Linked DNA regions of Caenorhabditis elegans. The protein of the gene in region 1 interacts with the protein of each later gene in a biochemical or structural test. Each region holds a gene or a part of one and is shown on either strand. Other genes may lie near its edges.

Region 1 (3,360 bases):
TATATTGCAACATTTTTCTGGATTTTATAGTATTATTCATAATGTCCGGTAAATTCAAAAAATTTCAAAATCATTCAGAACTTTTTTCTAGTACCCAAATGTTTGAGAATAAGCTAATTGGATAAATTCTGAAATGCGACTTTCAAAAAAATGTTCAAAAATTTAGATCAAGTTCTTCGAAAAATTTTTTTCTTGATGAAAAATTTGTTCATATGAGTGCATTATGAGTTTAAATGTTCAAAATACATTGAACTGTTAGTCCTCTTTCAGACTATTCCAGCACATTCTCGTGAAAGCCAAAAGTTTCCAGAAGTCTTTACTTTGTTGCAGAACTTTCTAGCAGTGTCGAATAATGTTTAGGTGTTCTGCTTACCATATAAAACTTTTCCGTAGATTCCGCCTGAAAATTTTAAACCACTCTTGCTTTAGCTCATATCGTACACTTGGTAAGAACCAAATGTTGTACGAACCTGAAAATTTATAAATTTTCAGCTGCTCTCCTTGACATCACACAAATTTCCATTAACGTTTTCTTAACGTTCCTGGGCATATTTATTTGTGATTTGATTCTGATTCCAAATTTTTTCAAATTTCATCTCAAAGTCTCTTAGGCAATTGAAAGTTCATTCAACAGATTTATTTATTAGTAGGAGAGTAAGAGTAACCAAGATATCGAGAAGGGTATATGGCGACAAGTGGAAGAAAGTTATAAAAAATTATGATAAAAAAGTTGTGAAAAAGAGAGAGATGAAGTGTTGCTTGTTGTGTGTTAGCCGCGGATTGGATAAAATTTCTGAAATACGGCGTTCATCCTCCTCAATTAGTAATCGTCACAAGTGCTCACGTTGGTATCGGCTGTTGGTACTTATTCGATCTCACAGTTGGTATATTGTTGGTAGTGTTGTATATATTGGTAGGAATTCTGTTAAAGAAGTCTCAGTCTATTGCGGCATCTCTGAAAGATGTGAATATACCTATTAAATCCAAGAAGCAATTAACTAACCGTTCTTGGCGTTGACGAGACGATCCCGGAGCCAGGACATGCTGACGCAGTCTGAGTTGGCAATCAACGCTTCGTCTTCGATATTTCGGATAAGGAGCTCCATCATTTGAACTTCGCGGGCTTTCTAGAAAAAATAAATTTGAAGTAGCAAAACTCAACAAAAATTATTACCGCATTATCAATCATTGGTTGTTGTTCCGCAATCATCGGATGACCTCCGGATCTTTTGAGCATGATTCCACGACAAGCTGGTGCAAACGAGAATTTTCTAGAAGAAAACACGGAAACTTGTTTGTTTTAAATTGAAATCTACACAAACCTGCAATCCAGTGAGTAGTACAGTGGAACAAGAGCAAGAAGGATCATCAGAAGTGGGGTGAAGCGCGCCATTCTCCAAGTGTTGTCAAAGTGAGCGTGATGAAGAGTGAGGTCTCTTTCGCCGATCGCTCCTTTTATCTACTGACTTTTTATTCACGCCACGCCCCTCACTCCGTAGATTTTCAGTGGGATTTTGCTCGGGCTCCGCCTCTTCTGCATTTTCTCCAATGACCTCAACAATACTTTCTCAGCGAGATTAGATTTAACAACGCGAGGAAAAATTATTCAAGTGCACTGAAGTGATATTGTTTTCGAGAAACAGGAATCTGATGACATGTTTCGTTTTGAGAAAAGTTAAAAAAAGTAATATGTGCACGGAAATTGTACAAAAATAGAAATGTGTCATGTGTCTAAAAAAGTTAATTCGAAAAAAAATTATCTCAATTTTTGCTACTTTTTTTGGAAGTCGCGGATCAAAAAATACTAATTTCAAACTATATAGTACTCATGCTTTGACTAACAATACTTCAACATAGTAAGGATCCGCACATGCGACAATGCTGCAGTTTTTCAAAAAGTGGCAAAAGCTCAGCAATTGCAACTTTTTGACTGCCAATTTCAAAAAAAAAGAAGTACAAAAAAATTCGTATCGAGACTGAGCCTGCAATCGATTTTCCTAGCGTCGGTGTTTTACAGTTGTGCAATGTTTAAAGTACAAGAAGTATCAAAAATTTTATCAAAATATTATTTGAAAATGTGGCGGTGAAAACAATCAATAATAAGCATCGACTCTATCATGGCGATTTAGTGATTTTCAATCGAATTGCTTTGTTTTTCGACAAAAGCTTTCTTAGTTTTACTGAATGTTCCTATTATTGTGATTGGGTAAAACAGAATGCAATAACAATCACAAAAGTTAAACTTCTTCTCTGTAAATGAAAAATTCATAACACATTTCTAACGGATTTGATTAATCTGCTCATATTTTTGATATTCATACTATATTTTGTTCCATAGATTTTACGATTGTTTACTTTTCCAAACGAAGATCTTTCTAAATACCAATAAATTATTCACAATGTTCATAATGAAATCTGAAAGGCAAAGAAACAGAATTTGAAATTCTGTTTCAAGAAGTTCACATCATTTATAATATTGTGGTTTGTATATCACTTTTGTATGTGCATGGAAAACTGCTACTTTTTATTAATTAGAGTAAGAGTTTGAGAAGAATAGTGGCGCTACTAAATTCATATAACTTTTTTTTTTCATTAAGCACACGAGGGCCTCTAATGCGATAATACGCATTGTGCCCGAGGTCAAACATGTTGCAAGGGCTGCATTTTTAATTGGAAATTGCAGTTTTTGAAGATTCGCATCCAGAACTTCCGGCATGTTCTTTTTCAAACTACGGTCAAAAGTTGCTGGCGCGTGCATGTCAGAATGGAATCAGATTAGGTTTTATGATTGTGTATTAACTTAATTTCCGATGCTTCTAGAGTGTCTGAATAGCCTAAGGCAAGGTGTCTTCTTATGATGACCCTTTGACGCATTTCCAATAATTATGACTAGATACTTTTTCAGAGAAATTCATTCGATCGCAAATATACATTACAAGAACAGGGTTACAGAAAGATGAATTATTGGCAACAATAAGCAGTCCATTTTCCCTGTACGCATGTCGATTTCTCGGGACAGAAACTGAAAAATCCAAAGATCAGAACAGTGTCATTTAAAATATTTGTGCAAATCACAAATGAAATGCTAATTTTAAAGGCTAGGTATCTGAAATATTTTTCACCTGTTCCGAAGTACTACTTACTTATGCGAACAACTACGTCCAATAAGAGGCGTCATTCCAAACCATTGCTTGAATTGGACAACTTGACCTTTCAAACACTTTGGTGAATTCTCCTTGTTCCATTCGTCTGAAAGTTCGACCAAGTGGAAAGCGATGGGTAGACTTATTTATAGCGTGAAATTGTCTCGTTTGAAAATTTATTTTTACACTTCTTTTCTAATTTATTAGTACAAAATTG
Region 2 (7,274 bases), on another chromosome or scaffold:
GAAGTTTATATAAATTTAGTTATAATTTACAATAAGAATCTACAAATTACTTGAAAAAAACAAAAAAAAATAAAGAATTGAAAAGCTAAAAGGGTTTTAAAAAATTTTCAATAAAATTTACTATTTTTTCTCAAGTCTATTTCATTGTTTTTTGAATTTTCCTCAATGAGGCTGAGAAGATCACTGAATAATTTTTGGGACAAAAAAACTGATGGTAATCGCACTGAGACCCGCTAATAACATTTAGAGCTCAAGAACATGAAAAATATCAAAACCAAAAACACCTCTAGAGAAGCCTCTGACCCTTCGGCGTGTAGGACGAGGCACACAGACACAAAGTTATGAGACAGTTTCGTATTGGAAATCCTGTGTCTCTTATCATTTCACACTCTCTCACCACTCTCTTTGTTTTGTCACTGCAAGCTTCCCACAGACAGAAAAGTGCAAAGTGAGAGAGAGAGGAGAACATTATTGGATTTTCATTTTTTGCGCTTTTTCATACATACTTATTTATTTACAGTGTGTTCTGTGTGTGTGTGTGTGTGAAGATATCGTTTAAAACATATTTGATTTAGATTTCGAATCGAAGAACAAATTGCAGATATAAAGAGAATTAGAGAAATAAGAGGAAAAAAGTTTAGAATCGAAAGGAAAAGTCTCTAGACAACCACTGCTGGCGGTGTTTTTGGTCGGACAGCGTCACGGACACTCAGTCGGTCCGTGGTTCGTTCCATGGATTGACCAGATGTGTTTGATTGGAGAGTTGGACTTCTTGTTCTGAAATATATGTAGGTTAGGTTAATCAGATGGTCTTCTAGGAATATAGATTTAAAGGAGCATAACATAAATTTTGAAATTTCAAAAAGAGGGTATACAACAGGAGTGGACTGCAAACGATTTTTTTCTGACAAATCGGCAAACAGGTAAATTGCCGGAATTGAAAATTTCCGGCAAAAAAAAACAGCAAATTGCTGATTTAACGAATTTGCCGGAAAAACGGCAATTGCCGGAAATTTTTAGCAAATTGTGTCTGCACTTTTTTTTTGGAAATTTTACAATTTCAATTTTAATCGGCAAAACTGTGATCCTTTGAATGTTCCTTTATCTATTTTGAAAAGTAACAAATTCTATGAAAATATCTAAAGAAAACGGGAAAAAATTCAAAAAGGCACAGTTTTAAATGTTTCTTATAAACCGTCTTATAAAAAATCCCTCTAAAAACTTCCGGCAAGTTGATGCTCGAGAAACTGCAAATTGGCAATTTGCCGAAATGCTAAAAAAAATTTTCGGTTGGCCGGAAATTTTTATTTTCGGCAAATCGCCAATTTGCCGATTGACGAACATCAATTTTTGCCGGTTTGCTGATTCGCCGAAAATTTCAATTCCGACAAATTGCCAATTTGCCGGTATTGTAGTTTGCATACCTTGATGGGAACAATGAAGAGGTGTCCGATGCGCCTGTAGGACTTCTCGATCGGACTATGGTAGACATTTGAGATGTCGATGTTGGGCTACGGGGTCTAAACGCAATCAATTAATATTTAATTCTTTAGAGTAAGATACCTTATAGAGGAGGATCGTCGCGAAGGCTTTGTCGACTGCGAAAGATCCGTGGGGCTACGTGGTCTTCCGGAATCATGGGACACGTCGGTTGGCGATCTAGGACGATGTCTGAAAAATTACTTGCTGAAGAAGCGTCCACAGATCTCACGAACCTCATGAAAGTCGACGGAGAGTCTCCGGCCATTGGACTCTTCGGTCGGCAGAACGACATTTGCGACGTCGGCCTGCACAATGACAACTGTGAGACGTCGCGTGACATGTTCGGAGTGATCATGGAGCGACCGGGCACTGTGAGTGTGTTGAAGCTGGACCCGTAGATTCGGTGCTGGTTGCGGGTCGACATCATGCTCGCCGAAGAGCACGATCCCATACGAGAGCGCATTTCTTCCACGCCCTGAAAGTTATTTATTAGAACTTGGATTGAAGGATTAAAAGATTAAAGAATTAAATACAGAGCAAAAAAAAAACAAAGAAATGATATTGTCATTCTTATTTTTTAAACCAAAAGGGTTTCAGAAAAAAGATTCTATTTTCAAACCACTCCATGCAAAACTCTTCATACCCTCTTTCAACGGATCACCACTATGGACTCCTGAACCTTGTTATATATTTTTTAAACAATGCTCCTACAATAATTTAAAAAAAGAGAGTTTCACCCACCTGAAGACGACTTTTCATTCTCGAATAGGCGGTCTTGAACGTGGACCGGAAATTCTGAGAAATGAAGGCATACAGGATAGGATTAATGCATGATTGGCAATAGGTCAGCGCATTAAATCCCATCCGCATATGCTTCAATGTCTGCGTATTTGATGTTCGACAAATGTACCCGAAGGACGTCAGAAGCTCGTCGACGATCGTTGGGAGCCAGCAAACCGTGTACATGCAGACGATGGAGATTAACATTTGAACTATCTGGAAGTTCAAAAATTTTAAGTATAAGTAGTTATTTCACGTATAAGTTTTTTTAGAGAACATTGATTCTAGATTGGGTCTAGAAATGAAAACTGAAAAAACGCTCTCAACCGGAATTGAGTTTTTCTGCCCAAATTTCAAACAACTGGTCCTTTGTACACAATATGGCTTATCTATAGTTTTATCTAAGCAGCCTGTCTGCAGATATAGTAGCCTATGTTCTGCCCGCTTGCTCTGTTGGCCTCCCCTCCTGCGTAAGAGGTGATTGTAAATGAGAGACGTTCGAGTCCCTAGCCACTGAGGGATTGCTCAGTGGTATTCTTGAATTCACTAGTCATAATAAATTACTCGGCATTCAGAGGCAACTTCTTGCCACACTTTGGCAACTTATTTAGTGCCACTAAAATAAGTTGCCGAATTGCTGGTAGGAAGTTGCCGAGTTGTTGGCAGGAAGTTGCCACGTAGTGGCAGCAAGTGGGAAAGAACGCTCAGCAACATCTAAATGTTGGCAGGAATGTGCAAAAGTTTGGCGGGAAGTTGCAAGTAAGCAAAGTTTGGCAGAAAGTTGCCTCTGAATGCCGAGGAGCGTTCTTTCCCACTTGCTGCCACTACGCGGCAACTTCCTGCCAACAACTCGGCAACTTCCTGCCAGCAATTCGGCAACTTATTTTAGTGGCACTAAATAAGTTGCCAAAGTGTGGCAGGAAGTTGCCTCTGAATGCCGAGTATATGATTATTAGGACATAACACAAACTAACTGAACGATGATTCTAGATACAACTTCTCTGTTTCACTGTGAACTAAAACGCTAAATTTTTAAAAGTCATTTAAAGTCGCGTAATGTCAACGCACCTGTTTCTTATTCGCCTCTGCCACGCGATTATTTCTGTGATTACTGTAGGACTTGATGGTCGTGTTGGCGGTTTTCAAGTTCCGGGAAGTTGTAATCATGGGGATTGCAGAGTAGCCGGAGAAGGTAACGGCGTCAGTGGCGGCCTTTGAAAATGCGACCCTGAAATGGTGAATAGTTGGTGAAGGTGAAGATGGAAAGTAATAACTCACATAGCTTGGGAAAGTATTACACGATCTTTCGACGACTTGTACACTATTGCAGATACACGAGCATAACATATGGACATTGTGAGCACCGGGAATATGATAAGTAGCAACAACTGGAAATTGAAATATTCATAAAAATTTAAATTTGAATTTCTAAATGTTTGTCCCAACCTGATACATGGCATATGCTTTATTCAACGATGTCCTAGGATATCCTAAAAATTGCGCGGGAAACCGTCTTCGACACCAATGCACCCTCTGCCCGGACAATGAAAGATTGGTCTCATAATCCATCCGAACAGCGGTTGGGACGGCCAGTACCGCGGATGACATCCAGATGAGTAGGATTACTTTTTTAGCTCGTCCTATGGATGAAAACCAGATATTTCGCATAGGATATGCTATTGCAAGAAACCTCAAAAAACCCATTTTTAAAGGAGCATAATCTCTCTTTTCTCTAACCTCTCAAAACTAATCATAGTCATCGTGAGCACCGAGCAGAAGCATGTAAACTGTTGAATGTAGTGCACAGAATAGCACGCAAACCTGCCCATCGACCACGTATGCGACATATACTTCATGAACATTATAGGCACACAAAACCAGATAAGGCACAAGTCGGCGGTGCTGAGCGAGGCGAGAAAGATGTTCGTTACGTTGCGCATTCGTTTGAATCGGTTTACAACAAATATTACCTAGAGGAAATATGATGTTTAAAATATCCATACGGGGGGACTCACCATAGAGTTTCCAATAGTTCCAACTAGAAAAACAGTGAGATATAAGAAGCCGGGAAGAGCGATCTCGAACAACTCCTCGTCGGTCATTGAGAAGAAAACAGTGTCATCGGGTACAGTGCAGCGAGAAATGCAAACCTATAAAAAATTTATGTTGGGGGTGGAACTAGGAGGTTTGATAATCAGGGCATGGTGGGATTTGTCGTTGGGAAATGGGCTTCAAAAAATGTTGAACTTTTCAGAAATGGACTATTAGGCAGCTGCTGAGATGATATAACAAATCTCATTATAGAAATTTTTCTACATGAATTGATAGCTGTGACCTAACGCTTTTTGTGAAGAGTCTATCGGGGGTACGCAATTGGCGAAATTACCGAAATTGCCGAAAATTCGATTGCCGCGCAACCCTGAAGGTTATACCAACATTTACTAAAATGTTGGATAGTCATAACTTTGCTAGACTTGGCTTACCTTGCTTTACCAGTTTTACCAGTTTACCACAGTCAGCACAACACTTGCAGTCATCAAAGCAACGATTTTTTCCGGCAAATCGGCAAAATGCCGGAATTGAAATTTCGGCAAACCGGAAAATTGTGGGATTTGAAAACTTCCGGTAAGTCGGCAAATCGGCAAATTGGCGATGTGCCGAATTCGCCGGATAAACGGAAATTGATATCCGGTAAATCGGCAATTTTCCGAAAATCAAAACTCCCGGCAAATCGACAAACCTGCAGTTTGCCGAGTTTGCCGTTTGCCGAATTGGCAGTTTGCCGAGTTTGCCGTTTGCCGAATTGGCAGTTTGCCCAGTTTGCCGTTTGCCGAAGTGGCAGTTTGCCGAATTTTCCAAAAATTTCCCTAACGGCAATTGTCGTCCACCTCTGACCCTTACATCGAATGAAATTTGAAAGAAAAAAAAACAATAAAATGAAATTTGAACTCTACCGAAAAAATAAAGAGGAGCATATTACTTACCTCAAGATACTTGTGCAACGGATGTGTGCAGTTGCAGTCCATCGCAGTCATGTTACTCCAGTCGAACGTTTCGTCATACTCGTAATCGAACGTCGTCTCCTGCACCATGTAGCATGACGGATCATCTCCGTCTTCGGACATGGACGTCTGCAAGTGGGCATATATTGATAAAAATTATTAGTAATACTACTATTAAGTAAAAAGGTTAATAATATTCATAAGGAAGAAAATAGCAAAAAAAAAGTGGCTTGGAAAATTTTGACGCTCCAGTTAACCCTATCAAAACATAATGTCCATGCTTGAGTTACTAAATTCAACTTCAAAAATTAAAAAAAAATTGAAAAACCAATCAATATTAGTTCTATCCGTGTGTGTATAACAACATGATAATATCAAATATGTGGCGAGTGCCCATCGCCAATCCTCAACTAATCCGTAGCCAGTATTTTCCAACTGATATCCATCGCGACGTCGTGTCTTATTATCAAGGGTGAGGAGAAATGAAACAAAAAACGGATTTGGCTCGCGGAGCACACAAAGTGTAGGTGAGTAGTTGGTTGAGCTCTGGGGCTCGATGGAAGAAAAGGAGAAAGTAGAGAGGCAAGAAATTGATCAGGAAATCTTATTAGAATCGCCGCATAAATTAGTAAGGTGTATGCGCGGTGCGGTGGATGTATATTTCATTTGGTTGGAAGTTTTTTTTTCGACAACGGTTGGGATGGAAGAAAAGTTGCTTGCATAAATTGATGGGTGAATGGAAAAGGGAGTTGCTTGTGAGGAATTTGAATTTTTTGTTGAAAATGTTGTTGAAAGCTGTCAGGGTTTTATCAAAACGTAAAATGTTTGACTGAAAGTTGACAAGAGTTTGATGCCTCGGGATTTTTTTTGTTAAATTTTTTAACAGAAAGACAAGGGTCTGGTGAATCACCATATTAAAAAAAAGTTTTTCAAAAAATTATCAGTTTGAGTTTTTAAACATTTCTGACCGCCTACAGTGTTTTAAGTCGGAGCCACTTTTTCAGGTTCAGGACAATGTCTGAAAAAATAAAAATACAATTTCTTTCATCAAAAAATTTTTATTCCGTTTGTTTTCAAAATATTATTGGGAAATTTGAATTCTCGTCACTCTCAGCTTTAAAGTGACCCCCATAATGCTCAGGTTTCGCTAATTTTGAATGTTGGCAGTCTCGACACAGCTGAAGCCGGTGCCACAGTACCCAGCTTGGCGAGAACCGAAAATTTCAAATTGGCTCCAACCAGGGCATGATGGTGGTCAAATTAAAGCTAGTGAAGTGGGGAATTTGAATTTTAAGTCAATTTGGGGAGAAATTGAAAATTGAATCAAATGTTTGAGCAACAATGTTTTTTAAAAAATTTGGCTCGAAAAATGTTATTCAAAATCTATCTAAAATTTAAATTCCTTATATTACCAGCTTTTTATTTAAAGAAATAATTACAAATTTTTCGAAAATTTGTTGTAAGTTTTTTTTCAGGCTATATGATATTCAATAACTTAAATTCTAGTGGCTTCCAGCATAACCTCTATAAAATTCCTAGAATCTGCGTCACCACATTTTCAATTTTATTTCCATATTTATCAAAACAAAACCGTGGTCATTGAAAAAAAAATCTGACATATAATGACCAAACATCGAAAATCCTTTTGAAAACAACAGAAAATAAATCAATTTTTTTAGTTTTCTGAAACAAATATCAAGTTTAAATTGTTATTATAGTTTTATTCGAAATTTTGTGCATATTCGGAAAAAAAAGTGTTCTAGAATATGTGTAAACTGTCTGGAAATTTTTTTTAATTTTTAAGAAAAATTTCTAGTAACAAAAAGTAAAAGCTAAAGGTTCTGCTCAAAAAAAATTGAGAAAAAAATTGAAATAGTAAGATGAAGCTTCATTGATGTGGAACTTTTTTTTACATTTTTTAAAAGTTTATTTTTAGGCTTCAAACTTTGAAGAAATATGTGCTTTGGTAAAAGAAGCAAAAATTCAAAAATATGAGGCATTTTGATGGCA

What was found.
Region 2: the proteins of snet-1 (region 1) and npr-34 interact in a test that uses a peptide from one of them, tested with the Caenorhabditis elegans proteins (one large-scale study listed by BioGRID).

The regions. Positions count from the first base shown.
Region 1 is NC_003284.9:3,667,479-3,670,838, forward strand, and holds snet-1 (Protein snet-1), read right to left. Parts: upstream 1,465-3,360; 5' UTR 1,394-1,464; coding exon 1,323-1,393; intron 1,272-1,322; coding exon 1,175-1,271; intron 1,128-1,174; coding exon 1,004-1,127; intron 956-1,003; coding exon 942-955; 3' UTR 622-941; downstream 1-621. Other genes in the region: BPTI/Kunitz inhibitor domain-containing protein C02F12.5, read right to left, coding at 2,962-3,022, 3,144-3,249. UniProt on the Caenorhabditis elegans protein: Negatively regulates chemotaxis and olfactory plasticity which is the change from positive chemotaxis to dispersal after prolonged exposure to an odorant. May be down-regulated in response to pheromone exposure, resulting in promotion of olfactory plasticity.
Region 2 is NC_003280.10:14,733,851-14,741,124, forward strand, and holds npr-34 (G-protein coupled receptors family 1 profile domain-containing protein), read right to left. Parts: upstream 5,394-7,274; 5' UTR 5,388-5,393; coding exon 5,247-5,387; intron 4,413-5,246; coding exon 4,278-4,412; intron 4,233-4,277; coding exon 4,000-4,232; intron 3,953-3,999; coding exon 3,709-3,952; intron 3,651-3,708; coding exon 3,541-3,650; intron 3,491-3,540; coding exon 3,331-3,490; intron 2,479-3,330; coding exon 2,224-2,478; intron 1,958-2,223; coding exon 1,716-1,957; intron 1,672-1,715; coding exon 1,564-1,671; intron 1,521-1,563; coding exon 1,425-1,520; intron 778-1,424; coding exon 660-777; 3' UTR 555-659; downstream 1-554.